Lonchura striata: one gene and its partners. The protein of the gene in region 2 purifies or fractionates together with the protein of the main gene of each other region. This does not show direct contact. Links are inferred from orthologs where the notes say so. Each region holds a gene or a part of one and is shown on either strand. Other genes may lie near its edges.

Evidence for each region.
Region 1: the proteins of RNF111 (region 2) and SKIL purify together in Homo sapiens (affinity purification with western blotting; 3 studies listed by BioGRID). This does not show direct contact. The link is inferred for Lonchura striata from reciprocal best matches to the Homo sapiens genes RNF111 and SKIL.
Region 3: the proteins of RNF111 (region 2) and SMAD2 purify together in Homo sapiens (affinity purification with western blotting, with the first as the bait; 3 studies listed by BioGRID). This does not show direct contact. The link is inferred for Lonchura striata from reciprocal best matches to the Homo sapiens genes RNF111 and SMAD2.
Region 4: the proteins of RNF111 (region 2) and SKI purify together in Homo sapiens (affinity purification with western blotting, with the first as the bait; 3 studies listed by BioGRID). This does not show direct contact. The link is inferred for Lonchura striata from reciprocal best matches to the Homo sapiens genes RNF111 and SKI.

The regions. Positions count from the first base shown.
Region 1 is NC_134612.1:23,035,770-23,042,766, reverse strand, and holds the start of SKIL (ski-like protein), read left to right. Parts: upstream 1-3,981; 5' UTR 3,982-4,091; intron 4,092-4,992; 5' UTR 4,993-5,795; coding exon 5,796-6,902; intron 6,903-6,997. UniProt on the Homo sapiens protein: May have regulatory role in cell division or differentiation in response to extracellular signals.
Region 2 is NC_134613.1:10,560,202-10,568,042, forward strand, and holds the start of RNF111 (E3 ubiquitin-protein ligase Arkadia), read right to left. Parts: upstream 3,005-7,841; 5' UTR 2,897-3,004; intron 2,785-2,896; exon of another isoform or gene 2,471-2,784; intron 1-2,470. UniProt on the Homo sapiens protein: E3 ubiquitin-protein ligase. Required for mesoderm patterning during embryonic development. Acts as an enhancer of the transcriptional responses of the SMAD2/SMAD3 effectors, which are activated downstream of BMP.
Region 3 is NC_134642.1:2,223,385-2,230,228, forward strand, and holds the start of SMAD2 (mothers against decapentaplegic homolog 2), read left to right. Parts: upstream 1-3,833; 5' UTR 3,834-3,961; intron 3,962-6,844. UniProt on the Homo sapiens protein: Receptor-regulated SMAD (R-SMAD) that is an intracellular signal transducer and transcriptional modulator activated by TGF-beta (transforming growth factor) and activin type 1 receptor kinases.
Region 4 is NC_134626.1:2,810,008-2,817,676, reverse strand, and holds the start of SKI (ski oncogene), read right to left. Parts: upstream 3,008-7,669; 5' UTR 2,225-3,007; exon of another isoform or gene 2,110-2,224; 5' UTR 2,100-2,109; coding exon 1,188-2,099; intron 1-1,187. UniProt on the Homo sapiens protein: May play a role in terminal differentiation of skeletal muscle cells but not in the determination of cells to the myogenic lineage. Functions as a repressor of TGF-beta signaling.

The DNA of each region.
Region 1 (6,997 bases), on a different chromosome or scaffold from region 2:
GTCATAAATATTCAGAAGGGACATTAGGTGTAAACAGTCCAGTGCAGTAGCTTTTGTTTTTTGGAGAACGTGTCTGCATCAGAAGCATGATGTATTTATGTGGAGTAACCTCTTTTTTGTACACGAGTTGGATTCCTATGGGTGCTCTGCTAGTTAATATTGTCACTACTATTTTCCTGTTTCATGTGGAATATCGTCTTGAACGTTGTTGTGTAATCATTTCCTTTATTTGTGCACACTTTTTACGTTAAATAAAACATTTATATTCAACCTCAGAGAAATCTCAGAGAAATACTGTGAAATGCTGGTCTTGGGATCATCGTCTAACCCTTTTAAACTGTCCATATCCCATGGGAATCTTGTTCTGATCTTTTCATTTCTTGTAGAAAATTGCACTGGGATGGGCCACAGCAACCCAAGAAATGCCTTTCTTACCCTGCATTTACCAAACATGTCTGAGAATGCAGGTTCTGCTCCAGCATCATTCCCTAGCCTCATGCTCATCTAGTCCTTTGGAAAAACACCATCCTTGTAGGTTCTTTCCTTCCAACACCAGTGATGAGACAAAGCAGTGAGGCATCCATCCTCTGCACAGAGATAGAAATCTTAAAGGAAAATACAAAATGTTACTTTAGCCTGCTCATCCAAGGACTCTTTCAGCGCTGGAGTTCGTACATCATCTCAGCTGCCAGAGCTGGGATTTGGAGTTCAGAGCAACGCTCTTGTCTGCTGCACTTACTTCTGCATGATTTATTTCTTTGTTTCTTCAACTCCTCCCCTGCATTCTGGGATTTCTGACACAGAGGGTGATGGCACAGATGCAGTGGTTTAATTTCTGTATTTCAGTATCTTTTAAAAGAGATTTTGTCTTGCCTCAGCACGGGTGTGCTTCGGCAATCCTGGCGAGTGCTGCAGATGGCTGCATATCTTCCATGCTTAACCTCCCCCCACGCACGCTCCCTGTTTCTGTTCTGTTGGGTGCCCAGCTGCTCTCGCCTCAGTCTGAGCAATTGTTTATGCTGAGGCACTCTATGGAGGAAGCTGATAGCTTGGATAATCTATACATACACTTGGTAAGTGCTAAGCAAGCGTCCTCACTTCAGCATGGATGGTGTAAGGCATTGAAGCAGCAGAGGTATCTGCAACTGACCACAGAATTATGTTTTCCTGGGAAGAGAGAAGGTAGGGGTTGGAGCCCCTTTGAGAAAAAACAGATTTTACCATATCTTGCATTTTTTCGCAGAGAGATCCCCCATGTGTTTATTTTAATTTTTTTTTTCTGCTTATAATAAAGGGATCTGGACTGAATACTTGAAAGGTGGATTCTTACCATTTAATCACCAATAACTGAAAGCAGAGCAGTGTCTACATCCCAGGTCTGTGCAGCTTTTGTGGGAGGTGGCTTTTCCAGGCATAAATAGCAGGAATCTCTTGTGTCCATGTTTCATTTCTAAGGATGAGTAAAGTGTCTGGGCTTATACTCTTAGATCAGAGGAATAGTTCAAGTCCTTCATGAGCTGAAGTGTTTTGTGCACTGTCCCCACTGTGACTTGTCCAGCAGGATGTGGTGTCTGCCAAAATCTATCAACTTTTTCTGCTTAAAACACAACCTGTAATACAATATCTGTTTTGCAAGAATGAAACCTCCTATGACAGATTAGCTAAGTGTGAACTGTTACAACTTACTATTAAACATGACTACTAATTTTTTTTCTTTAAAAAGTACGATATCATCTCATCAGAGACGAAAATGCATGGTCTTTGTTCACAGTTAAATTGTGCTCTCCAGGGCATAGTTCATAGTTAAATTGTGTATCTTCAGGGACTGTGCATCAGGGAAGTTTGTGAGCTTCCCCAGAGCCTCAGCATTTCTTTAAAATTCAGACACTTTATTAATCAAATCAAGATTCCTCCTGTGCTATTAGTGCACTTTATTACCACTTGCAAAAGTCTGTAACTCAGGTTTTAGTTATGCAGTGTCTTCAGAACTGCTTTTCACAGTCCACAGTAGAAATAGGCAGAGCTAACACCTTTTTTTAGACAATCCTCTACCTACAAACTTTGTCTTCCATCGCCTGATTATTGTAGCTCTATAGCAACACTATCATTACAGCACAATAGTTACCAGGCTTTGTAACCTGAAATGGAACATTTCTGCGGCAGAACTTGAAAAAAATCAACAAATTACACAATGCCACTGGATCCTAAGCTTCCATGACATCAGCACGTCTAATAAAAGATGAAATATCTGCCTACATATGCTGCCTTCCTCACAGACATTGATCAATCCAGCTGCAATGTTAGACATTACATTTTCTTCAGTAAATTTGAAAGGGATTGTGACATAGTGCATTTCACTGATTGGTATTCAAAGAGGCTTTTTTTAAAACAATCAGGTCATAAAGTCCAAGAGGGTGAAGCAGACAGGAATGTCTAGAATGTCTATACAATTCCCTCATAGGTTCATACCTTTTCAGAATCAGCTCCAAAAGCTGGTGCATTCAGAAATCTTGTTTATTTCTGCCACATTGTTGTGGCTTTTAAACAGACCTTATATCTGCTTAATAAATAAGTAGTGGGTGTTAGTATTCTTTGCAAAAACGTTTACTTTTCTATAAAACCCTGATGGTTTGGCTTGGAAAAGGCCTTAAAGATCACTCAGATCCAACGAAATTGTAGATATTGTTGCAGACACCGCAACCGATGCGGTGGTTTGAGAAAGAGGTGACTGCTGAAGCAGCTTTGAAGTGATGCTCAAGGGCCTCTCCATCAGCGACCCCGCCCAGCCCAGAGGAAACCTGAGCATATCAAAGGTGCGAAATCAAGGATTAAAGAGCACCAAACGCCTCTGTCAGCAGATCAGCGGGGCAGGTTCTGTGCCATAATCCTCCTGGGACGGCATTAGGGAACGGCGCGGAAGGGATCAGGGATCCCGCCGGCCGGTGCGAAGCGGTGCCTGGTGCTTGTACAGCTGCCCCATTTTCATGTGCCGTGCTTTTGTACTCGCATCAAAATATGTAACTGTGTGGGATGAAAGGAAACGGCAAATTGGATCGCGCCGTAATCCCAGCTGAAGCGCTGTCTTCACAAAGATGTAAACTGAAAAGCTTTGGGCCTCTTGCAGGCGGAAGAAACTTGTAATACATGAACGAGCTGTACAGCGACTAAGCTGTCCCTGAAGAGCATCTTCCCCGCCTCTCCGCGGTTCGATCGCTTCGTTTCCCAAAATATCTCCCGCGAGCCTGTGGCTGGAGGGAGCGGTCCGTGCCACGGCTTCGGGGCCCCTCACACGGGCCCGCCTTCCCCGCGCCTGCCCGCCCGAGCACAGCCCGCCCTCCTGGGGACCCTCGCTGGGGACAGCACTGTGAGACCCCTGCCAGGGACGCTCCGTGGGGGACAGTCACTCGAGGGCTTTCACTGAGGGACCATCTTTTTGAGGGGCAGTCAGTGAGGGATCCTCTGCGGGCGCCTCGCTGCGGGGCAGTCACTAAGGGGCGGTCACGGAGATCCCCCCGCTGGCGGCCTCTGCCCGGGGCCGCCGCCGCGCCTCAGGCGGGCGACACGCCCGACGGGTCCCCGACAGCGCCCGGCTTTTCCCCTGCTGCCATGGCCGCTTCCCTTCCCCGCCCCAGCTGCAGCTGCCGCTCCGTCCCGTCCCTCAGCCGGCCCCTCTCGGCCGCCGACGGCGGAACGGCGGCAGGGCGGCGCGGGGCAGGCTCTGACCGGGCGGGCTGCGGGGAAGCCGGGCAGAAACAACACTTTTCCATGCGTATTCACTTTTTAGTGTCTATTACACAAAGATCTGTTTTATTTTTATTTCTCCTCCTGCGCCTTCCCCGCGGGCGGCAGCGGGGGGAAGGCCCGGCCGGGTTTCCCGGCGCTGAGGCGGCGGCGGGCGGGGGAGGGGCGGGCGGGCGCTCCCGCCGCTGCCCCAGACAGTGGGCGGGGCCGGCGCGCGCCGCCGGCGGGTTCGTGCCCGCGCGCCGCCGCCGCCGCCGCCGTCTCGGTCTCCGCAGTGAGGTCACGGGTGGGCGGCGCGAGCGCGGCGCCTGTTCCGCTCCCCGCGGCCGCCGGAGCCCCCGCGGCGCCGGGTGAGCAGCCGGGGAGCTCGCTGGGAACGGCGGGGAGCGCGGCGGCGGAGCCCTGGGGGGAAGGGCGGGAGCGTCCGCCGGGGGATGGGAGGGAGCGGCGGCGCGGGGGCGGCGGGGAGAAGGGGAGCGGGGTACCGGCGTTGGGAGGAGGGGAGGGACACGGGGGCGGCGGAGCGGCGCGGTACGGCCGGGGACGGCGGGGAGCCGGGCAGGGCGGAGGGGCGAGCCCGGCGGCGGGAGGGGGAAGGGCTGAGCCCGGAGCGGTGCCGGCGGGGCCGGGGTGAGTCACGGCGCGGGAGGGAGCGGCGGCGTGCGGCGTCCCGGGAGGGGCCGCGGGGCGAGGGGTCGGTGCCCGGGATGTGGGGGCCGGTGCCCGGCTCGCCGGAGCGCCCGTTCCTTTCGGGCGTGCACGCCGGCAGAGCCGCTCCGGACCGCCCCCTCCCCCGCCGGTATCGCTCATCGGTCGGGGGCTTGTCCCGGTGTTCCGCAAGTTACTGGGAAATGCACCCTGCCTCTGGCAGGCAATCCCGGTGGTTTGGGCTGCAGGGGGCCTTAAAGCTCATCTCCTTCCAGCCCCCCCACCCCGCCATGGGCAGGGACACTTCCACTATCCCAGGCTGCTCCAAGCCCTGTCCAACCTGGCCTTGGACACTTCCAGGGATGGGGCAGCTGCAGCTTCTCTGTGCAGCCTGTGCCACTACCTCACTGCTATCACCGAGAACAATTTCTTCCTTGTATCAAATCAAAACCTTCCCTCTCTCAGTATAAAGCCATTCCCTCTCGTCCGCTGACTCCTGTCACACTTTCACCTGTGTCAAAAGTCCCTCTCCAGTCCTTTTTACCCCTTTAGGTACAGAGCAAACTCTGGGATTGCTTGTGATCAGCCATCTCTCTTTCACAGGTTATCAGGAAGGACGAGCAGAACTCTGTGCTAGCACACGACATGCATCCAGCCCATGGCCTGGATCTCACCTCTATTACTAATAACTTGGGCTGGGAAAATTCTGACACACGCCAGTGACATCTGGGCGAAAGGTGACTCTCTAGGGACGTTTAGTTTTTGCCGTCGGTCTGGATCAGCCTTTAATTTTAGGATTTATTTGTGAACTGCCATAATAGCTGTCACGGTGGTGGTGGTGAAATCATAAAGCTGGCAGCACAATAAAGCAAGCCCTTAAGATTGTGTTTGATCTCTGGGAGCTAAAAGTGCTGAATAAAATTTTCATACAACGTAAACTACGTTTTGGATCAGTTTCGTTGAGATTGACATTCTTCTAACTGAGCCCATTTTTCTATTTTATTATTTAAATAGAGACTTATTTGAAAAGACAGTATATTTTTTAAAGGAAAAAAAAACGATTGAGGATGAACACCCATCAACGCATCGTTTTTTACTAAATTGCTGAACAAGACTACTGTGTAAAGTAGTGGCTAGGGTATGAAGAAAACCTTTTGTATACATATTGCATTGGGGTTTTTATATTATGAAATTTAACAAATAGCTAAGAAAATAGTGTAACCCCCTTCGTTAGTAGTTTTACAGAATTACATACAAAATGGGTTACAATTTTTACTGTTGAATGCTGAAGAAGATGTTTTAGGGAAAGGAGCGTGCAGCTCCAAGATCACATGAAACTATTTTTTATATAAAAAGTAAGAAAATGCACATTCAAGACTGGCTTAATTAAAGCTCAGTGTTCAGCAATGGAAAGCCCACAGATAAACTTCCCTCTAGGTCTGGTTTCAGACCAAAAAAGAAGCAGGATCCAAGAGGATGGGAGTCCTCCACTGAAAAAAGCAATGACTGAAATGCATGTAAATAACAAAGTACAGGTAGTAATAAATAAATTGCCAACAATAAAGAAGGAAAACCTGGATGACTATGATGAAGCTCCGGTGGAGGCTGATGCGGAAACCGCCAAGCCAAACAGTGCTTCACTATCTGAGCCTTTGAGTTTAAATCCAGGTTTGAAACACACGTTGGCACAGTTCCACCTAAGCAGCCAGAGTTCACTGGGTGGACCTGCGGCTTTCTCAGCTCGGTATTCCCAGGAAAGTATGTCACCCACTGTCTTCCTGCCTCTCCCATCACCACAAGTCCTCTCTGGTCCGCTGCTCATCCCTCCAGACAGCTCCACGGAGCTCACGCAGACCCTGCTGGAGGGGGAATCCATCTCTTGTTTTAAAGTCGGAGGAGAAAAAAGACTTTGCCTGCCTCAAGTATTGAATTCGGTTCTCCGAGACTTTTCCTTGCAGCAGATCAACACGGTGTGTGATGAGCTCTATATCTACTGCTCAAGGTGCACTTCAGACCAGCTGCACATTCTGAAGGTTTTGGGAATTCTTCCGTTCAATGCTCCGTCCTGTGGGCTCATTACGCTGACGGACGCTCAGAGACTATGCAATGCTTTACTGCGCCCTCGCACTTTCCCCCAAAGTGGCGGTTTCCTCCCTGGTAAGAACACCTTGGCCCAGCTGAAAGAGACTGGCAGTGCCTTCGAAGTAGAGCATGAATGCCTGGGCAAGTGCCAGGGGTTGTTTGCACCTCAGTTCTACCTTGCCCCGGATGACCCGTGTATCCAGTGCTTGGAATGCTACGGGATGTTCTCACCCCAGACCTTCGTGATGCATTCACACAGATCCCCAGACAAGAGGACCTGCCACTGGGGGTTTGAGTCGGCCAAGTGGCACTGCTACCTGCACATTAACCAAAAATACCTGGGCACATCAGAAGAGAGAGAGCTGAAGCATCTCTTGGAGGAAATGAAGGAGAAATTCAGCGAGAAAAATCAGAAAAGAACTCGGTCCAAAGTAAGTTCACCTGGTGTAAAATTCCCAGATCTCTTTCTGCTCGCACATAAATACTTGTTTTAGAAGCGCATTACTTGGCTTTTCTAAGTGGGAAT
Region 2 (7,841 bases):
ATTTAAAAAATTGTTTCTTAGTCCCATTTTTGACCTTTGAGGTATGTGTAATTCTTCTTGATGTAGTGCATTTTGCAAACACTTCTCAATAAAGCTTTGAGGAACAAAGTTAAACATGATCTTTGCCACAGCTGCTAGTAAGAACCTTTCAAGTGAGAATTGTGAAATTAACCATTAGGGCAGTTTTATGCTGTTTTTCAGGAAACCTATGGGAAGAAGGAGATTTTATAGATACTAAACTGATCTACCAGTTTCAGGGGAAAGGACACTGCAGCAGACTTCTCCACTCTGCACCCAGCAGAGACAAAAGTAAACATTTTACTTAACAGCAGTCAAATATTAGGATTAAACTATATTGGGGAAAAAAAAAAAAAAAAAAAAAGAGATTGCCCTTACTGGCCTCTTGCTAGTAAAGCCATGAACCAGCCTTCTCAGATTTCACTTGGTGAACACTTAGTAAGGAAGATATAATTTTAATTTAGAGCAATTCCTTTTCCAAATAGCATAAACTATATAAAACAACAAAATAATACTATTTTGTCACTAGATCTGTAGTGGTTTGGCTCTTTGTATGTCAGTAAGGTTGAAAAGAGATTTATTAACATGCATATTGAGTAATATCGTATTGGATACATGTACAAGGTAAGGATAGGATAGCTGCTCAAAGTTGAAGTCTCCTGAGTTTTGTCAGTGTAGCCACTTTCAAAGTTTACAGTGCTCTTGTAAGAAACAAAATGTATCTACAACTGAAGTCTTAACTAGTGAACTTTTTTCAACGTTAAGTACAGATTGGTGGGGGTTTTTTTGTGGGCTCAGGTCAGGCCTAGCAGAGAACCCTAATGGGGCAGAGGGAAAGGCAGAAAAGAAAATGTTTCTTTTACCAAGCCAAACTTCTGCTGACAACTCACTTAAAGGAGATTGCACATCAGGAAAGCCATGAGGAACCCTTTATACAACATGTGCCTATGGCAAATCTAGCTCTCTGTACAATCCCCATTGTTTACCTGTGAATTAAATCATCATGTTCCCCATCCCATCATCACACTCCCCCCTCAATTTTTCCCTATTTATTCAACTGCTTGACATGCAAGCCTCTATAATACATCAGCTATGGAGGAGGGAACTATCACCTCTATCTTTTTTGAAAAGACTGTCCTCACCATTAGAAGAAATACAAAAAACTGAAATGAAAGATTGGACACCTTGGGAAAAAAAGGCAGCAACTGCTGTCATCTAAATGTTACTGCAACACAGTAACTCCAGTGAAAATCAACTGCTATAACTGATCTGGTTATGTAGGTCAACAATGTCACTAATTCAAATATAAACTGTGAGTCACAGTTGTGTTAAGATACATTTTTAATACATTTTTACAAAAGCCATTGCTTCATAAAGGCTATATTCCTGAAAGGTCAGAATGCTCTCATCCATGTTTTGAAAGCACATTCAAAATATGCATGAATGCTGTGAGCTGTTGCTCATCCTCAAGCTTCCAATACCAGACAATCTCATCTGTAGCTGCCAGGGCTTCAACCATCAATAAAAAACAGATTTTTACATATGTGAGACTTCAAGACTTTAAAATAGGAAGCTTGGTGCCTTGTGCACTATTATTTAATTAAAGTGAACCATAAAATGTTCCTACAGCCTTTCCTACCTTATGAATTCCAGAGGTGATTCTATACTGTGGATGAGTACACAGGACAGGTGACCAGATGTTTGCTCTATCAAATAAACCAAGATCACTTCTTTCCCTATCAATCCTTGCACATCAGCAAGCATCATCCTAACAGGGTTTGCTTCTGTTCCCTCCCTGCCCCAAGACAGTTCCTTTATCCAAAAAAATTAAGTGCAAAAACACTTAAATTGCTTAAATAGTTCTGACAGCAAGAACTATGGATATGTGACCAACAAGATGTAATTTCTGGTTTTAAAACTGGCAAAGCATTGTAACTATTTAAATATTAGTCTTCCTGAAAAAGCTTTCTACTAAGTATGCAGCACTTATATACCTTTGGAATTTTCTGCAAGTTACAACAAAGACAAGGTAAGACCTTATACTGCACCTGAAAACACAGCTTTCCTTTAATAGTTTATAATACAGATACCATGACAAACCCAGGTCTACAACAATTAACAGTCAATTCTTATATTTTTGTTCAAACCTTTGTTTCTGAAATCATTGCATTAGAATCAAATTATTCTAATTACAGCAAACTCTTACCTCCTGCATTACATCCTCTTCTGGAGAAGTACTTGGGTATCAGGAATTAAGGGTCTCATTTAATCAGCTAAAGCAACCAGGCCTTGCTTATGATTTAATGAAATAATTTCAAGCCATGGAAGAGCTTAGTCTAACAACATGAAAATTCCATGAATGCATGCTCAGCCCTAACCAGAGAAACACAGACACTTTGAAAAGTACATACCCTTAACACCTGCCCATTGCAACAGTGACAAGCCTACGTACCTCTGAAGATCCCGGCCTACATTTCTGAATGAACGTTACTTCCTTGTTCATCAGGCAAAAAAAACCACCTGAAAATTGTGATTTTTTTTTTTTTAAACATGGGTTAAGAGAACACTAACTTCGCAAACAAAACAAATGACGTCATAACAGACCCTATTACGCACAGAAATAGAAACTCATTTCCCTAAGGGGAAAATTTGTGACAAATTTGTGACAGAACCCCAGAGAGTGCTGCGGCTGCCCGCAGTGAAGGCACTGCTTTGTGCGTCAACGAGGCGCTGAATAAAAAAGGAAAAACACATTCTGCGTGAAGTTCCCCCCCGCCGCACAGCCCCGCCGCTCGCCGCTGCCGTCAGTGCCGGGCGGGGAAGCGGGGCCGCCCCGCCGGCCGCGGCCCCACCCGCGGGTCCCCGCCGCCCCCCGTACCTGAGACAGCGAGGCCGCGGGGGAAGGGGCGGGTGCCGCCGGCGCCCTGCGCAGGGCCGAGCGGTAGAAGCGGCCCCGGTGGGCGCCGCAGTGACCCCGCGGCGCTGCCCGGCGCGCCGGGAGAGGCCGCAGCGTGCCGGCTGTGGCGGTGCGGCCGCTGCCGCGCTCCGGTCCCGGTGCGGCCGCGGCGCCGGGCGGGCCCCGCTCTGTTGTGGCGCAGCCCCCGCCGCTCCCTGCCCAGCGCCGCGCGACACTCGGCGCTGCTTTACAGCCGCCCGCAAAGCGCAGCCGCGCCGCCGCGCGCCCCGCCTCCCGCCGCGCCCCCTGCCGGCCGGCGGCGCCGCCACAGCGCGGGTCCGGACCGCGCGGGGCAGGGCGGGCTCGGGAGGGCAGCGGACACGTCGGGATGGGCTCCTGAGGGCAGCGGGCACGTCGGGATGGGCTCGGGAGGGCACCGAGCACGTCGGGATGGGCTCCTGAGGGCACCGAGCACGTCGGGATGGGCTCGGGAGGGCAGCGGGAACGTCGGGATGGGCTCCTGAGGGCAGCGGGCACGTCGGGATGGGCTCCCGGACCGGCGGCACGGCCCGGGCTGCCGTCGCTGCTGCTGCCTTTAGGCGGTTGTGTGTAAATCTGTAAAGCGGTGGTGTCAGAGCACAGGGCGGGCTCTGCTCGGCGGTGCCGAGGAATGGGACACGAGGCAATGGCAGAAACACGCCCAGAACGTCCCAGCCGGCCTGAGGAAGAACCTGGCGGTGCAGCGAGCGCCCGGGAGCGGGAGCACGCTGTCCAGCGCCGGGGGCTCTGGGAGCCGGCTCGAGCAGCGGGGCAGCCCCTGCGGCCGCTCCAGCCTGCCCCTCTGCGATGTCCCTTCTAGCACCTGTCCAGAACCATTCCTTTTCTTCCCAGCGCTGTCTCCCTTGGCACCGCAGTACCTCGCGGCTGCCCGTCCTGCAGCCAGTGACAGTTGCGGCTGCGAAGACACGCCGGCAAATCCCAACTCTCCATCCCAGCTCGTTAGAAATAGGAGTTTATTTGTCTTTACTGCACAGAGTCGGGATGAGGTGAGCCTTTCCCCGCTGCATTCCTATGTGCACACAAACGGTGAGGACCTGTCCCGACAGCGGCCGTGTGTGACACGGACAGCACAGCAAACACGAGGCTTTGGGAAGGCTCTCAGACAGCAGCAAGCCTCAGCGTCTGCTGACTTTGCAACTGCCAGAGGCCAGGATACCTCTGCCAGAGATGACCTTTCATCAATGTCAGGGTACACATTCCAGCTCCAGATTGAAACACTGCATAGACAGGGGTCCTATACTGTCCGTGACCAGCAGCTACACAAACCCGAGGCTTTGGAGCAGACAGGTACAGTCTGGTCTACAAATAGTTAGAGATTTTACTCAGAAGGCACTGCACCAGAGAGTCATCAATACACAGCAGATCCTACGTGTTTTGGAGGAGCTAAACAACCTGCATGCATCATTACAAAAGAAGTGGTCACTGGGGAAAAATGCATGTTATTTCATTAAATAATTGCATGAGTTTCTGAACAGAATTTCCTTAAAGCAAAAGTGGATAAAACAACATGGAAATTAGACTCTACTTCAATATATATCCAAAAGTGTACAAAATGCAAAAAGGATCACAGGTTATTTCATGTGGTTCCATGAGCAGAGCAACAATTAATTTCAGTTTGCAATAAAGACAATAACACAGGTTTTCCAACATTAATTGTCTACCTTTCTCTACATATTTCTCGTGGTGTTGGGTAGTTTTCTTTTTTTAAAGTCATATATATGACTTTAAAAAAGTAAACACAGACACCGAGCCACAGATGAAATAACCAGTGAAACTGGGGAGAATGTGAAGACAGCAACAGACAGTGGGAGGAAGGTCCTATCATTCCATGGGGGTCACCAGTGGCTTGACTGTGTAAGCAATTTTAATATTTTTCCATTAAGCACTAGATCCAAAGTTGGAATACTTTACTAAAAATCAGCTGGGAAAAAACCAATCAAGACAATATATGGGAAGAAGTAAATGACCCTGAGGACTAATAGAAGCAAAGTGAAAAAAACATCAAATACAAAGAATGTGCACTTGAATGTTAATGACCAAAAGTTTTGGGTATTTATCAGGTAAAAGGCAGCTGGATGCGAAGTTCAATTACCAATGTAATTAAGTAAATGACCATCAGTCAACAACATTTTGTAGACATGAAAAAGCAAATATATCTCTATAATAATTTTGTTTAAATAATTTTAAGAGAGAGAGGTCTCAGTGCTATTGCAAATATTATTCCTAATGTAGTCTTGCAGCTTTTTTAAAATATGTATCCAAGGAAGATTAACTCTAATCTTAGTGGGACACTCAAGAAAACAGTATAGATTGTATGAGAGGAAGCTAATAAAATTTGGCTGGATTGCTTTAAGAAATGAGACACAGGAGCATTGTGAATAAGCTGATGAGAGACTATACCAATAAAAAACCTTACCAACTAGTTACGTATTTACCCATTTACGTAATAATTGGTTTGAACTCTTGTGTCAAAGGTGACAGAAGGGTAGTTCTTGGTAGAGAAAATGTAGAGTCACTCTCTGCTCACCAACTGAAAGATATACAAAAGATCATTTCAAAAACAAAAATCATGGATAAAGTTTTCAGTTCACAAATTAAAATGCAAATATAGTCAGTCTTGATTTTGTCCCAGTGAGAAGTCACAGTGGCCAAATGATCTGTAAATGTTCAAACTGGGTACAAATCTGTGGACCTTTCTGTAATATAAAGGCAGAATTTCTAGGATCTTTATTGGCTAAGATTTCCTAACACTTATTTCAATATGGACCACCAGCTGACAAGAATCTAGTAATTTGTGGGCCAGTCACCCTTTAATAAACTCTTGATAAAAATTAGTTTGTCCATTATTGACTGGTTATTAGCGTCTTTTTTAAAGAAAGGTGATGTAGAAAATACTTAAGTGCCCAGAATTATTCACTATTAAAACAAAACCAACCTTCTATCTATGCCCTTTCATGGAAGTTTTTTCTGCCATTATCTTCGTATCTTGCAGAGACAGTTGTCTTGAAATTAGATTACTGATTCCTTGGAACAAACCAAAACGTTCTCCTTCTCACACTTTTTAGGTACAGAAAACCAAAAGATTAAATTGAATAAGTCTAAATCACTAATGCAAATTTCAGAATGGCTTTCAGGCTATGATGTCATCAGTTCATACTGAACTCCTCAACTTCTTCTAACTACAGCTGAACAAAACCATTTATATGTACACCCCAGGGCCTGGCAGAACTAAAGACACGGAGAAGAAATTATCTTATCCAAGATCAAAACATGCCAGCCAGCAGAAGATTGCACTTTACATTTTTGGCAAAAAGACTAAAAAGAGTAACCCAGTTATCCTGAGGTGCCTTCAGCAGCTTGTCTACTTGGCTGGACACAGCTCATGCAGGGCTGCTGGAGCAGTTTGCTGGCCCAGAATGGAACAAGGCACAGCTTTTTCCAGGGGTGAGCAGCAGCTTCTGCAACAGCCCCGTGGGCCGAGCTGCACAGCCTCCCAGAGAGCTGGCTCTGCTCTGGGCCGGGCTGGATGAAGCCTGCTCGTGGCCAGGACAGCATGGAAGGGGTCTACCTCTAAAACTGTGACAGCATGGAAGGTGTCCACCTCTAAACCTGCGCCCATAGCCAGGAGTGTGGATCTGTCACACGCACACTGCTGGTGGAGCTGTCACTTGCAGCCAGGGCCATCCTTGCCGTTTACGGACCATACTCAAGCATATATTTAAATGCTTGCATGAGTTAAGGCAACTTACAATTACTAGTAATAGTAATAAAATGTAAAGTTGTAGTATGTTGTGAGGACGATACAGAAAACCAGATAATACAGAAACATTTCTGTGTTAGATCAAAAAAACTCTGGGATTGATACTTGGATGATAAACAGTCACAGCTCTAGTTAGCCCAGATGAAGATCTTAACCATGAATATTGGAGAAATAGGGAAAAGATAAAAAGTCCTGAAATATTTATATTATGATAAATTTCTACTAGGAAACAAGAAAAGAATGATCATTTGCAGAATCAAAAATAAAACTTGATGGTTGTCTGTGCTATATATTTTCTGATGGAAATTTTTGAATGCAATTAAAGAGTTTTCAAAAGCTCTGGAAAATAACATGCACCACTCAGGTAATTTATAGTAATTTATATTTTTATGATATATGGGAAAACAAAATACCCTGCATTACAGTATAATGTTGATATGGAACTGACCTACCAGTCACTCATTTGATTTCATGTTGTACAGCCAGATAAGGCTCTGTAAGGTTAGAAACAGCATTTTCACAACACATGACTTAAAAATTATGCAAACTCCTACTAAGGTCTCACAGTATCTTTCTGAGATTATCTGATAGCTTAAGTATTTAAGTTGCCATATAATTAAGAAGGTGTGGTGTATATAATTACTTGGAAATAGCTAGTTTGTTGACAGTATTTTTAATAGTTCTTTTTCTTATTCAAAAACAAATATGTCACCAAGTTCTTAGTAGAAAGATCATGAGATGTTCCTATTTATTCTTTCAGTCCTTGCACAATAATGGGGCCAAATATATTTTTGTGTTTTAATGATGCATCAGTGGCTATTTTTAGAGCAATTAGGTTTAAAACAAACAAAAGCATCCTGCATTAAATGATCTGACTTTGCACTAAGAAATTCAATAGCCATTTCCTAGCATGTACATATGGTTTCAGTGGTAAAATAGAAGATATTTGTGTTTGATTTACAATTGGATTTATGTTCTTTTCCTTGCTGTTCTCTAGAAGCAATTAAGAGATCAGAAATTCATTTTTACAACCTCCTCTGACTGCTCATTGTGCAGTACATCAATAATACGTCAAAAAGAAAACTATACATTCAGAGTAGAAAAAGC
Region 3 (6,844 bases), on a different chromosome or scaffold from region 2:
GCTCTGGACCAAGCCTGGGAGAGCTGGGGATGCTCACCTGGAGAAGGGAAGGCTCCAGGGAGACCTCACTGAGGGCTTATAAAAAGACAGAGAGCAACTTTTTACACAGAAGACAGTGAAAGGGCAAGTGGAAATGGTTTTAAACTACAAAATGGAAAGACTTAAGAAAGATTTTAGGAAGAAATTCTTGCCTTCAGGGTGAGATCCTGGCACAGGTTGCCCAGAGAAGCTGTGACTACCCCTGGATCCCTGGGAGTATCCAAGGCCAGGCTGGACAGGGCTTGGAGGAACCTGGGATAGTGGAAAGTGTCCCTACCCATGACAGGGGAGTGGAATGAGATGAACTTCCAGCCTTCCAGTCTTCCAGCCTTCCAACCGAAACCACTCTAGAATTCTGTGATTAATTAATAAGACATAACAATATCCAGCTTTGGTGTCAGTGATGGAGTTTTGCTATTTGTTTTACTAAATCAAGTATTATTTCATGGAATTATAAAATAGTTTGGGTTTGGATTTGGATGAGACTTTTAAAGGTCGTCCAGTCTAACTCCCCTGCCAAAGACAGGGATATCTTCAATGAGATCAGGTGTCTGAAACCCCTGTCAAACCTGACCTTGAGTGTTCCCAGGGATGCAGCATCCACCAGCTCTCTGGCCAATCTGTGCCAGTGTTTCATCACCCTCATCAAAAAAAACCCAATCTTTCTAATTCCCAATCTAAATCAATGCTCTTCCTGGAGGTGTAGGCATACAGCTAGGAGCTCTTTCTAGAGCATACGCACATCCTGCCTGCCTGCCTTCTCCACAGCCACCCTGCTTCTGAAGCAACTTCTGGGCTCTGGGATTTAAAGCCGTGATGCTGCCTTCTTCCATTGGCTGTCTTCCTGCTGCTGCTTGCAATTTTATTTCCTAGAGAAAGGTTTATGCAAATGTTGGATTTTTGTGTGTGTGTGTATGTCAGAATCCCCCAGCATAAGCTGGCCAACCTTTTGACTGATTTCAACCACACCTGAAAGAGAAGTAGAGCTTCTGGAAACACAAAGCCTGTCAAGCTTCATGGCAAACAGCAGCTATATTAGAGAAGACACATGTTGTTAAGTGCTCTGCTGGGGAGAAAGGCAGGGAGAGCTCAGCCCTTATCAGCACTGCTTGGCTTCCTTGGCAGTAGATAAGGGGCAGGCAGCTGGCCAGCCAGAGCACACACATCCCTGAACCAGGTACAGCATGTGCTGCTCCAGAAAGAAGGCAAACACCAATAAGTTGTGTAGTAGGGAGGCTTGGATGTATCAGGAATCAACCTTGGAGATAGGAGGAGAGAGAGCTATGAATCTGTTGCAGAGGAGAGGTGAAGGGAATGTCTGACGCAAATCCATATGAAAATTGAGCTTAATTAAATTACTCTTCATAAAAAAAAAAAATCTCTCTGAATGCAGCAAAACCTCCACAAAGCAAGTGCAATGCTAGCTGAATAGTCTGTATATGTTTCCAGGCACAACATTACTGGGACACCTTATCTTCCAAAAACATGATGGCAAGCTCTCAGATGCTCTGCTTTCTCTGCAGAGGGGATCTTCTCCACTTCACTGTTGATTTCATGACCAGCTTGAATCTCAAACGTTTGGGGCTGGCTGAAAATGCTACCAAAAAAATAAGCCACGTTTGCTTCAAGCTGGGAGAATCCAGGCACAGAAGAGGCAAGAGGGGGATTTCTGTGAATCCACATTCTGTAGAAGGGCTAAATATTCTGAGGTGATTCACCTTGCTCCTGGGAATACCAGCCTTGTGGAGATGGGACCTGTGCCCTAGACACAGAATCATAACACCTACACCACTGAGTGCAGAAACCTTTTCAGTCTAGAAGATGAGCATGACTCTGGAGAGACAAAGTTAGGGAGATGTGACCTCAGGTGTAAAGGAAGTGGCTTGAAGTGAAGATAGATGATATATACTAAAGTATCAAAAAGACAAAAGCAAAAAAAACAGAGTACCTCCAACAGACTTATAGCAAATCTGGAACAGACCTTCTCATCCCCAAAAAACCCCATTAAAATCCCACCTTGTGGCTTCCCACTCATAAAATCATACAATGTTAAGGGGTTGGAAGTAACCTTAGTGTTCTTCTAGTCGTGACCCCCACTGCCATGTGTAGGAACACCTTCCACTAGACAGGTTGCCCCAAGCCCCGTCCAACCTGGCTTTGAGCACTTCCAGGGTTGGAGAATCCATTACCTCCTTGGACAACATGTCCCAGTGTCCCTCCACCCTCATAGCAAAGAATTTCTTTCTAAGATCTAGCCTAAAGATCCCCTCTTTTAATTTCTACCCATTCCCCCTTGTCCTGTCATTGCAGTTCCTGACAGAGAGTTCTTCTCTGTCTTCCTGGTGGGCCCTTTAGGATACTGGAAGGTTCTGTGAGGTCTCCACAAACTTGTCTTTCCCAGGATGAACAGCTCCAGGGAATCTGCTGGGCATCACTGCAAGGCACAACAGAGCCCCATGGGTTTCACAGACAGGTCCCCAAACATGCACTGCCAGGTAACAGGCTCTGATTTCCTTATGGTGACCCTGGGCCCCTGCTGGGGCACAGGAATTTGGTTACTTTTCACCATTACCTCAACACAAGTGGTCCAAGCATTGCAAAGACTCTTGAAGGCAGTAGCTAAAAAAACCCCCCTAACATATGGGGGGGGTTAAGAGTTTGTGAGCTTGGGGGGCAGGCAGCAGAGGGAGGCTGGGCAGGCTTTGGGGCTGCCTTGTGTCCGTGTCACACCTGGGGACAGCCACCCTGGAGCTCTTGTGCCATTGCGGGGCTGTGGGCAGTTGGAATCTATTTAGAACCACAAAATCGTTTAGGCTGGAGAAGCCCACCAAGACCTGAGTCCAGCTGTGACACCAGCACTGCCATGGCCACTGCTGATCCCTGTCCCCAAGTGCCACATCCAATGGCTTTTAAATCCCTGCAGGGATGGGGACTCCATCATTGCCTTGGGCAGGTGTGCCAGGGCAGCACAGCCCTTTCCATGAAGGAATTTTCCCAATATCCAACCTCAACTTCACCTGAGCCATTCCCTCTCCTCCTGTCCCTGTTCCTGGAGCAGAGCTGTCCCCATGGCTGTCCCCTCCTGTCAGGAGCTGTGCAGAGCCACAAGGTCCCCCTGAGCCTCCTTTTCTCCAGGCTCAGCCCCTTCCCAGCTCCCTCAGCCGCTCCTGGGGCTCAGTCCCTTCCCAGCTCCGTTCCCTGCCCTGGACACGCTGCAGCCCCTCAGTGTCTCTCTTGTCCTGAGGGGCCAGAGCTGTCCCCAGCACTGGAGGTGTCTCAGCAGTGCCAGCACAGGGACGGGCACTGCCCTGGGGCTGTGTCACACCCTGGCTGGGACAGCCCAGGGGTCACTGCCCACCGCTGCAGAGCCCAGCCGGAGCTCAGCGGCAATTCCCGCCGGGAATCCACGCACTCTTTCTCAGCTCCCGTCGCGCCCGCCGCGGAAGGATACGGAGCGGGGACAGAGCCGCACTGCGGCTGCGCTGCTGCGGCTCAGCCAAACCTCCGCTCAGCCTCCCGCGGCGGGCGCGCGCGCCGTGACTGACAGCCGACCCAACCAATCAGCGCTGCGGCCACGGCCCGCCTCCCTCCGCCTCACGCCTGTTTCTCCCACTCCCCTTCCCTTGTCTTATTTTTTTTTTAACGTTGCGGGCACTCCATTGGCGATCCTGACTGCCAGTTAGATCTCTGGACCAATCACAGTGCGGCTGCTTAGAGAGAAGGTAAATGCGGCCAATGGGCGGCCTCCCCGCCCAGCGGCGGGGGCGGGGCGTTGCGGGGGGCGGGCCCTCAGAGGAGGTAACGCTGAGGGAAGAGGCGGCGGCCGCACCGCACTCGGGGAGACGGAGGAGGATAAGGAAGGGGAGAGGAGGAAGAAGGAGGGCAAGGAGCGGTGGCTCTCGGCGGATCCTGGTGGCTCCCGGTGCGTGCTGGTGGATGCCGGGCCCGGGGTCCTTGCCCCCTGGGCAGGGTCGCCCCGCTGGCGCTGCGCGGGCCGTGAGGAACCGTCCGGGCCTGGTCCCGGCGGGGCCGGGGGCGCCTCCCTACGCCCTCGCCCTTTTTGTTGTGGTGGGACCCGGGCTAGGTTATCCTGCTCCCGCCGGCATTGCCCCCGAGCTGTGCTGGGAGGGCCGCGCTGTGTGTGTGTGTCTGTGTGTGTGTGTGGGTGAGGGGAGGGAGGAATAAAGAAGTTGTGCTCCTTCTCTCCCCCGCTGCCTCCCGTCGTGCCCGGTGTGTTTTCCTTGCAGGGGTCCGCCGAATATGCCGAGCTGGAAGGCATCCCGCGAGGATCATCGCGTCCAGCTCGTAGCGCTGCACAGGACACCCCTGTGTGCCTCCTGGACATGCAGGCAGGGTTAGGTGTGCGGCACTCCCTGGAGTTTTGGAGAAGAAAGTTGGGAGCGGTGTGGGGCGAGGAGTTGTGTTTTGGAGCTAGGAGTTTGTGTTTGGGACTGCGAGGCTTCACCTCACCCTTTTGTCTGTCCCCTCTCCTCGTCTGCAGAGCCGCGGGTGTAAGAGACACACAGCAGCCCACGTGAGACAGGACTTGAGATCACTGGTTTTATTCCTGCCTTTAAAGCTGTGTGTTGTCAGAGGGCAGAGGCAGGTGGGGTTCTGGGGAGAAATTCCTGAGAGGGCAGCGAGGTGCTGACACAGGTTCCCAGAGGAGCTGTGGCAACTCCATCCCTGGGTGTTGTTTGTAAACACACACAACCTGGTAATGTCTCATCTCTCGATAAGTGCACTGAGGAAGCTGTGTCGTGATAAGGGCAAGTGGTTGGTGTTGTTGCTGCAGAGTTGTGGAGTTCCTGTTTGTAGGGGTTTTTTCTTTTTTTTTTTTTTTTTCGTTTTGTGCAGAGTGGAGGGGAAGAGAAGTGCAATACAGCATGGTCTTCTAGTGTTCACTCTGGGGAAATAAAAGAACGGAAAAAAGCGTGTGAATGAATGAAGAGCTCTTGTGATGATTGTGGAGAGCTGTTGAGCAGCTGGGATTCAGGCTGCAGGCTGGTCTTGTGTCTCTCTGGTTGTCCGTCACAGTTTCTGACTGAGAGAAACCCAACACGTGTATTATGCTCTTTGCAAATGCTTGCGAGCGGGATAGCATTAGGAAAGAGTTTATTTACAGGGTTTGCCAAAATGAGTGTCTCCAAAAACCTTTGTGTATTGTGTGTGGAGCTCATGCTCTCACAGTCCAGGGGTATAAACGGGTTAGATTCCATCAGCAGCGAGAGGTTTATAATAGCAGCTTGTTAGGAGACCGCAGGTAGCAGCAGGTTTGTCTTTTCTCAAGTGTTGTGTCTTAGCCTGGAGAGCTGTACTTTCAAACTGATTCATGACATTACTTCTGTGGGGCCTGGCCTCTGCAGCGAGGCACTGATTAGCTGTTGCTCTGTTCTCCAGGCTGGAAAAGAAACACCCTCTGCTTGAGGTGAGAGGCCAGCAGAGCGAGGTTGCTTGTTTAGATTTTCTCATGCTTTGTCGAGGTGTTGGTGCGTGAGTGGGTTGTTTGTGTGCTCGTTCTGAGGCACAGCTTTCAAACTTCTAACGTTTACAAGCTCTGGCGAATTCGGGGGGGATGAGAGTGTGAGTAAAGGAGGTGTTTGTGAAGTCCCTTCCCCCCTTTGCTTAGCACTGTCATGATGAAAGATAACATTAGTTACAAATGCTTTTAAGAAGTGGAAGGGGAGGGTCTTGTTTAAGGTGGTTTCCACTTTAAGATGAGTCTGAGCATCTGTTGAACAGCATATTGGGGTGTTGAAAAGAGTAGCCTGGCAGCTGATTGTTGTTCTGCAGTTGTATGGGTCAGATACACAGTCAACAAAAGGAGTATGTTTGAAGATCCAGTTTTCTTTACTGAAGAGGCTGGATATGCATGATAGAGCCTTGGAGAAGAATTCATCAGCTATCCTGAGGTTCTGTTTAACAGTGAAAGGAAGAAAACAACTCAGACAATTGAAAAAATGAGGTTAAAGAATTGGTCTCTGTGCTGTTTTCTTGTTTCCTTCCACCCAGCAGCTAGATTCACCAAAATCAAATACCCTGGAATTACACAGTGAATCTCCAAATGAAAGGTTCTCCCTGGGTCCTCCTCCCTCTTCCCGTTCCACTTGATCTTTCAGAAGTCTTGAGCACCAGTTGATACAATTGAGTTTATTTGAGCTCAAAAAACCCTGCCTGCTACTGAGGGCAACTTTAAAAAACAAACCTTGTTTCCATCTCTCTAATCCCTTTCCCACAAAAGTACTGGGAGAACAGGCTTTGTGGTATGTTCTGGGTGACAATGAATCTGAGCTCTCTTGAGGCTGAAGCAAATTCCTAAGTTTTGTTTGTATAAAGAACAGTACGCAAAGTTTTAATTATTATAAAAAGTATTCCACAGTTTTCAAATGTATTCAGTGCTGCCTTAATGGTTGTGCATGTAAATGTCCTGTAATTGAAAGCATCCATTTATGGGCCTGACTTGCTAAGTGAGCTGTAAATTCTGCTTTTCAGATTGGATTTAATGACTTTTATCATAAAGCCATAAACTGGTTGTGAACTGTGCCGAGAGGCAAACAATACCTAAGCTTACTTTGCCAAAATATTTGTAATTGTTGATTTGTTAAAATGAATTGCTGCAGGTCATGCGATGGGATTAGGTTTTTGTAATAGAATGGAGAGTACAGGCAGCCTGTGCTCAATACTCTCTGGGCTAGAAGAAATTGGCTACTGCAGAAAACCTTCCTAAACATTCCTCTCCATTTCCAGTGACAGAAACTCCGTTGCAAACTGTAAGCCTTCATTCCAGATCACATTTTACTCTGAT
Region 4 (7,669 bases), on a different chromosome or scaffold from region 2:
TTATAAATAAAAGCTCTATCTTAGTCAGAGTGTGTGTCTGCCCCTTTAAACAAGTATTTGGTAAATTAATTCAGAATTTTCATAGTGGGTTTTAAACACTTTTTCTTTTCCAGGCTTGTGTATTGCCCTTCCACTCCAGACACAAAACCCCAAAGTTTGGAAATCTCTGACAGTGAGGCAGAGCCCAACCAACAAACCTGCAGGGGAGAACTGGGGAGGCAGGAGTTTGTTTTCCCCTCGCACCGGGGGGAAGGAGCAGGAAGCAGAATTGCTCATCCCCAGCCAGCCAGACATCCCGGTGTCTGCGAGTCCCCAGGGCCTTGTGGCACTGCTGCCCATGGAGCAGGACCGGTGCCAGATGCCAAGGCAGCCTCCCACCCACACACCAGGGATTCTGGGATCTAAAGGCAGCTCAGACTGAAATAAAAACAAGTGGCATCTAAAAAAAAAAGCGATTTGGCTGGCTGGCTCAGCACAGCACGGCATGGAACACCTTCAGGAGCTGCTGCAGCTGGCCCTAGACACAGGCATTTGCTGGATGTATACATAATCCAATATACAAAAGCCTGTCTGCTGGGCAAATCTAAGCTCCATAGGGATACTCTAAAAGCAGGGACTTCTCCATTCACGTTCTGAACACTTCATCTATAAACCACTAACCTGCACTACCGGCACAATTTATTTTTTTTTCTTAACAGGCACATTTTATTTCCATTCGAGCATTTAGAGCATTCAGCCCGCACCTCCATCCCTGGCGACACTCAATCGACCAGAAAAGTGCATGGACTTGTGTCTGGAGCATCAGTACCTGCTCCCTTTTTCTGGCTTCTTCCTTGCCTTGACCCCTGAGTGAAGAAGCCCTTAAAGACCCGAAATCACGCAATGCCAGATAAAGTCTGGGGCAGTGTGATGGGCTTCAAAGATCAAGGTCCACACATAGTAAAACATACAACCACACACACATAATTTAAACAAACTCCAAGCACCGTGGTCAGAAAACAACCAGAGAAATAAAGGTGCCATCTCGAGCACTGCTCCTCCACAGTGACACACACGCGGAGAGAATGGAGAACACGATTAAAATTGCTAAATGACTCCAAGGAAAAGCAGCTGGTAACAATTTGGGTATATCGATGAATGTTACAGAAATTCCCCCCGCCCCCTTTAAAATCACAGGCACCACTTACCCGAGGGGCTTTCCTCTTGTATTTGTTGTTATAGTCAAATTTTTCTTTCATTTCATCTAAGAGCTGGCCCAGTCTAGCTTTCTCCTCTTTCCCAGTATAATCCTGGCTGAGGAGGATATAGGATCTCCAGTTTGCAGAGTCAAAGCCCCAGTGGCAAGTCCTGTTTTCCAGCGATTTGTGAGAATGGACCACAAATTTGTGAGGTGGGTACATGAGCCTGCAGTCCAAGCACTGGATGCAGGCTGCGCTGGGGTTACTGTAAAGCTCTGGCACCAGGAGTCCCTTGCACTTCCCAAAGCACTCATGATACACCTTGAAGCTCTTCTCCGTGAGCTCCAGCTCAATTGTGCTAGAGAATTCCTTCTTGCAGTGGGGAGGATAGGTGCCACCATAAAGCAAGGCGTTACAAAGCCTCTCAGCATCAGTTTTCGTGATGAGCCCGCAGGAAGGAGCGGAGAAGGGCAGGATGCCCATGACTTTGAGGATTTCCAGCTGGTCAGCAGTGCATCTGGAGCAGTAAATATGTAGCTCATCACACACCGAATTAATCTGCTGCAGGGAGAAGTCCCTGAGCACCGAGTTCAGGATCTGGGGCAAGCAAAGCCGCTTCTCTCCGCCCACCACGAAGCAGGAGATGGTTTCCCCTTCCAGGATGGTCTCGCACCTCTCCGTGGATCTGTCCGAGGGCATGAAGAAGGGACCAGGCATGACCGGAGGAGGCTGGATCGGGGGCAGATGCAGTACAGGTTCCGCTGGGTCTTTGCCATTGTCTTTCTTGTACATCTCCTGTGCCCATCGTGCTGAGAAAGCAGCAGGGCCACCCAGGGAGCTCATAGAGCTCAGATGAAACTGTTCCAAGGTCTTCTGCAGTCCTGGATGAGGCTGGAAGCTGCTTCTACTTACAGTCTCCATTTTTTAGTTTCTATTCCCAAAACAAATAGCAAAAATCCCCAGTTATCTTCCACCCTGATGCAAATCCACTTAAGGGATTTTTTTTTTTTTTTAGGAAAAAATATTAACAAAATAAAACAACCCACCCTTGTGTTTTTCCTCCTTCTCACTCAGCAATCCACTAACGGAGAGGAAATAAATCCTTTTGTATGCGTGTCTCTCTCTTCTTTCTCTTCTCTTGCTTCACGTTACAATTTCAAACCCTCCAAGTCTCCAAGCTGCCCCGATGGAGCACAGAATCACGGCAAAAAGAGGTCTTCATCCGAGCACTCACCCCCTCAGCCAACCCCCAGGCAAACCAATCCCTCCTCCCACACCTCCAACACACACTCACTCACACACACACACACACACACACCACCCACAGAAACACAAAAAGTCTGTGCCACGCTCCGAGCACCCGGGCTCAAATATGTTCTGGCGGCTGCTGCTTCTCTGCAGTGATCCCCCTTCTGTCCATATCCACCGAGGGAAGGCGCGGGGGAGGAAAGTAAAAAGCAGGAGGAGGCAGCACGCTCGGTCTGTGGAAGGAACAAGGCAGGAGAAAAGGCCCAGATCTCCGGCACTGCCGAAGCGGCGCGGCGGCTCCGCACGGGCGAGGAGCGGCTCCGCTGCCCCTCGTGGTCCGTCCGCTCGGCCTGGGAGGGCTCCTCGGCTCTCGGTTCGCCTTCCTGCCCTTATTTCTGCCGGTGCTCTCGTTGTGCCGTGGGGAGCCGCGGTGAGAGCGCGCACATCCTCCCAGCTCCTCTTTCCAGCAGTGACTGAGAGTGCCTGAGAGCTGAGCTAATGCAGGCGGGCTCAGCCGCCCGCCCTCCGCCTCCCCCCTGTGTTTGTTGGTGTCTGCCTCAGTCATTGAATCCCGGCCAAGAATGTGACCAACTCCCCGGGCCGGGCTCTTCCAGGAACAGCGCCCGCCTCCCGCTTCGCGCTGCGCCCAGACCGGCCGGGATGTGCCGGGATCAGCCGAGCCGAGCCGAGCCGGGCCAAGCCGAGCCACTCCAAGCGAGCCCGGCCGCGCCGAGCACAACCGAGCTGATCGAAGCCCGGCCGAGCCGAACCGAGCTGGGATGTGCCGTGCTGAGCCGAGCCGAGCCGAGCTGGGATGTGCCGCGCCGAGCCGAGCCGAGCCGTGCCGAGCTCGGCCGAACCGGGCCGAGCCGCTGCACGGGCGGGCGGGCGCGCGGCCCCGGCGGCAGCGCCGGCGAGGGAGGGAGGGAGCGGGCGGAGGATAAACTGCTGGGTTCACGGACCGCCGCGCCGCCGAGGAGGGGCGGTAGGGCGAGGGCTTTTCCCCTCTCGCCGCTGCGTTTCTGGCAGCCGTGAAACGGAACAGGCGCGGGAGCGGCTCTGGTCGGGCTCACACGGGCACTCACGGCGCCCTGCCCGGCGTCAACTGCGGGCACACGCCCCGCGCCGACAGCAATCTCAGGCGTGAGAGCGCAACTGATGGGCGACAACCGCGCGGGACCAGAGCGCATCCTCGGGGCGCCACCGGAGCCCCCAACCCACTGAGCGCTACAGGCGAGAGACACACGTGTGCGTCCCTGTCCCGGCACACGTATGCTCCCTTGCTCCGACACACATGTGTTCCCCGCTCCCGGCACACGTCACACGCTCCTTCCACCCACAGGCGACGCTCAACGCGTGGAAGAGGCGTGAGAGGCGCAACCGCAGCGCGGGTGGGAAGGGGCTGGGGCTGTCCGAGCCCCCGCTGGAGCAGGAAGGCGGAGGCAGCACTAAGACCACGCTGGTGGCACACAGGCGGGTCGGCTCCTGGGCTCCCACCCGCGGGGCCGGGGCTGTCCGGTGTGTCCGGGGCTGTCCGGTGTGTCCGGGGCTGTCCGGTGTGTCCGGTGTGTCCGGCGTGTCCGGAGTGTCCGGGGCACCGAGCGCCCCCCGCACAGCGGGGACGGGCGCCCTCTACCGACCGATGAGAGATCACCGCGACCGCCCCGCGCAACCGCGGCCGCGGCACGGACACCACTGACCACTGAGCAGGGCACGGACACCACTGACCACTGAGCAGGGCACGGACACCACTGACCACTGAGCAGGGCACGGACAGTCACTGACCACTGACAGGGCACGGGCACCAACTGACCACTGACAGGGCACGGACAGTCACTGACCACTGAGCAGGGCACGGACAGTCACTGACCACTGAGCAGGGCACGGGCACCACTGACCACTGAGCAGAGCACAGGCACCACTGACCACTGAGCAGGGCACGGACACCACTGACCACTGAGCAGGGCACGGACAGTCACTGACCACTGAGCAGGGCACGGACACCACTGACCACTGAGCAGGGCACGGACAGTCACTGACCACTGAGCAGGGTATGGACAGTCACTGACCACTGAGCAGGGTATGGACAGTCACTGACCACTGAGCAGGGCATGGACAGTCACTGACCACTGACAGGGCACGGGCACCAACTGACCACTGACAGGGCACGGACAGTCACTGACCACTGAGCAGGGCACGGACAGTCACTGACCACTGAGCAGGGCACGGGCACCACTGACCACTGAGCAGGGCATGGACAGTCACTGACCACTGAGCAGAGCACAGGCACCACTGACCACTGAGCAGGGCACGGACACCACTGACCACTGAGCAGGGCACGGACAGTCACTGACCACTGAGCAGGGCACGGACACCACTGACCACTGAGCAGAGCACAGGCACCACTGACCACTGAGCAGGGCACGGACACCACTGACCACTGAGCAGGGCACGGGCACCAACTGACCACTGAGCAGGGTGTGGACAGTCACTGACCACTGAGCAGGGCACGGGCACCACTGACCACTGAGCAGGGCACGGACAGTCACTGACCACTGAGCAGGGTATGGACAGTCACTGACCACTGAGCAGGGCACGGGCACCACTGACCACTGAGCAGGGCACGGACAGTCACTGACCACTGAGCAGGGTATGGACAGTCACTGACCACTGAGCAGGGCACGGACAGTCACTGACCACTGAGCAGGGCACGGACAGTCACTGACCACTGATCAGGGCACGGACACCACTGACCACTGAGCAGGGTATGGACAGTCACTGACCACTGAGCAGGGCAAGGACAGTCACAGACCACTGACCAGGACATGGACATACAAAGCACATGGCACAGACAATCACTGACCAGGGCATGGACACACACAGCACATGGCACAGACAGTCACTGACCAGGGCATGGACAGTCACTGACCACTGACCAGGGCACGGACAGTCACTGACCATGGCACAGTCATTGACCATGGCATGGACACCTACTGCTTGGGGCACTGACATATCCACTGCCCCTAGCATGGTCACACACTGGCCATAGCACGGACATACACTGCCCATTGCACAGTCATTGACCATGGCATGGACATCACTCACCACGGACCATAGCAAGGACACCACTGACCATGGCACAGATCCCCACTCCCCATTGCATGGATCTTCACTGTCCACAGCATGGGCACACAGTAACCATGGCACAGACACCCAGGGCATGGACACCAAGTGCCCATGGCACGGACATCCAATGCCCAGGGCATGGACACCAACTGACCACAGCACAGACACCAAATGACTAGGCATGGGCACCCACTGCCCAGCAGCACTGCAAACTCCATTATGGATTTATTATTCAGGTCAGGAGTGAGATGCTTTTGCTTTTTATTAATAACAAATTTCAAAGCAAAAATCCTGTGTATTCTCCCATTTTCTATGGACTGCACACCCAGAAGTCAAACAAACATTTCAATCTTAGCATCACGATTAAGGAACAAGCTGAAAAGGTTTCCACTGTTATCTCAGAGCTCTGTCAACTGTGTGCCAAAAAGGGCTAAGGAGCACTTTCACACACCAGCACAACTGTTAATCGTGTTTGAAATTCAACAAAGACTTTAAGCCCTGCTCATCCATAGAGTGTGACTGAGAGACACAGACATTGAATTTTGGACAGTCTCCTCTGGAAGAGTTCATGGCAGTGGAACAGCAGAAAAAACACATCAGGACAAAAGAGGAGGAGCAAACAGACAAATATCCAAACAGTGCTTAAAAGAGCAATTGGAAAACAAACCCGCTGTGATTTACTCAGACTCATTGTAATGGGGCAGGACACACGCCAAGCTCTTGTGTTTTATTTCTACTTTTCTATTCTGAAATCTTGTTCAGAATAAAGGGGAAAGGTGTGTAAGAGTTGTGTAAGAGCTTTGACCTTGCCCCTAAGTCAGCATTTCCTCAGAGAGGAACCCACTCTCACGTACCCAACTTGGACATCAAGCCTCAAAGTGCTAAATGGCTTCAGAAGAGGCAGGAACCAAACACGTTGATCCAGGCCAGCAGCTGTGTCTTCATGTGCTCAGAGAAGACCCTTGGAGAATCTCCACCAAATTGTTTTAATAGGAAGCCACTGGAAGCAAGAAGGACCCTTGAAGTTTCTGTTTATAGAATCCATCACATGAGGATTTGGTGATCCATGAGTGGGATTTTTAGATATTACCACAATACCAAGGTCTAAAGATGGGATTTAACAATCTAGGCCATACAGCCCTTGTTGATTCCTGATGCTAAACAAGTTACCACATTAAGAGAAAGCAGGGCTAGAAATATTCCCCACTGGGTAACAGGATAATCTAAAAGGTTTTAATTAAGAATAATTTTTAAATTATAGTCTTCTTTCGATAATATGAGGGACATCCACCCATTCCACCATTTCCAAACTGAAGGGTGTGCTTTGGTAGAAATGAAAACCCCTCCCAGCATTCAGTCTCCTCTTAGAGAAGCTCTGACTGTGTGACAGGGGAGAAGCACCAGACACACAGTGAATTCCCCCAGGGCTGTGGCAGTTGACCAGACTGTCACCAGAGACACTCGGATACAATGGGGACCAGCAGCAGGATCACTCCCAAGATGCATTTAGTGCAATTTCAGGCCTTTTTATAATCCACTAAAATACAAATGGCCAGATAAACTCAAACATCACATCTGGAGTTCCTGATTCTTTTAAAGAACCAAACTAATGCCTGCAGGAAGTTTGGATAGCAATGGAAATGCTTCTCAGCTCTGGAAGCTGGGTTGCTTTTCTTTTTTTTTCACTCCCTCTCCTTCATCCCCTAGAAAGAAAGGACAGAAAGCAGTAGCTGCAGTTCATTTTAAGAGAGGTGCCGTTTTCTCTTCCAAACGACTTTTTAATGCAAGTAAGTCACTGGATCGTGCAAAAGATTGTTTATGGGTGGAATTTGGAAATGGAATTCCTGAAGCAGAGGGGACTACCAAAGAGACAGGAAGGATGGTCTTGTGGTTAAGACAGAAAACTCCGGACATCTGGGGTCTATTCCCAGATCTCCCACAGATTTCCTGTTGCCTTGGGCAAGTTGCTCAGTCTCTCTGTGCCTCAGTTTCTGTATCTGCAATACTCAGACAGTGAGCAATTGGAGTGGCAGCTTCCAAACCAAAAGCCATGACGGGACAGAAACCAAGCTCCAACTTCTGCAGTAACAAGACAGCAAAACTTCCTCGTTTTTACA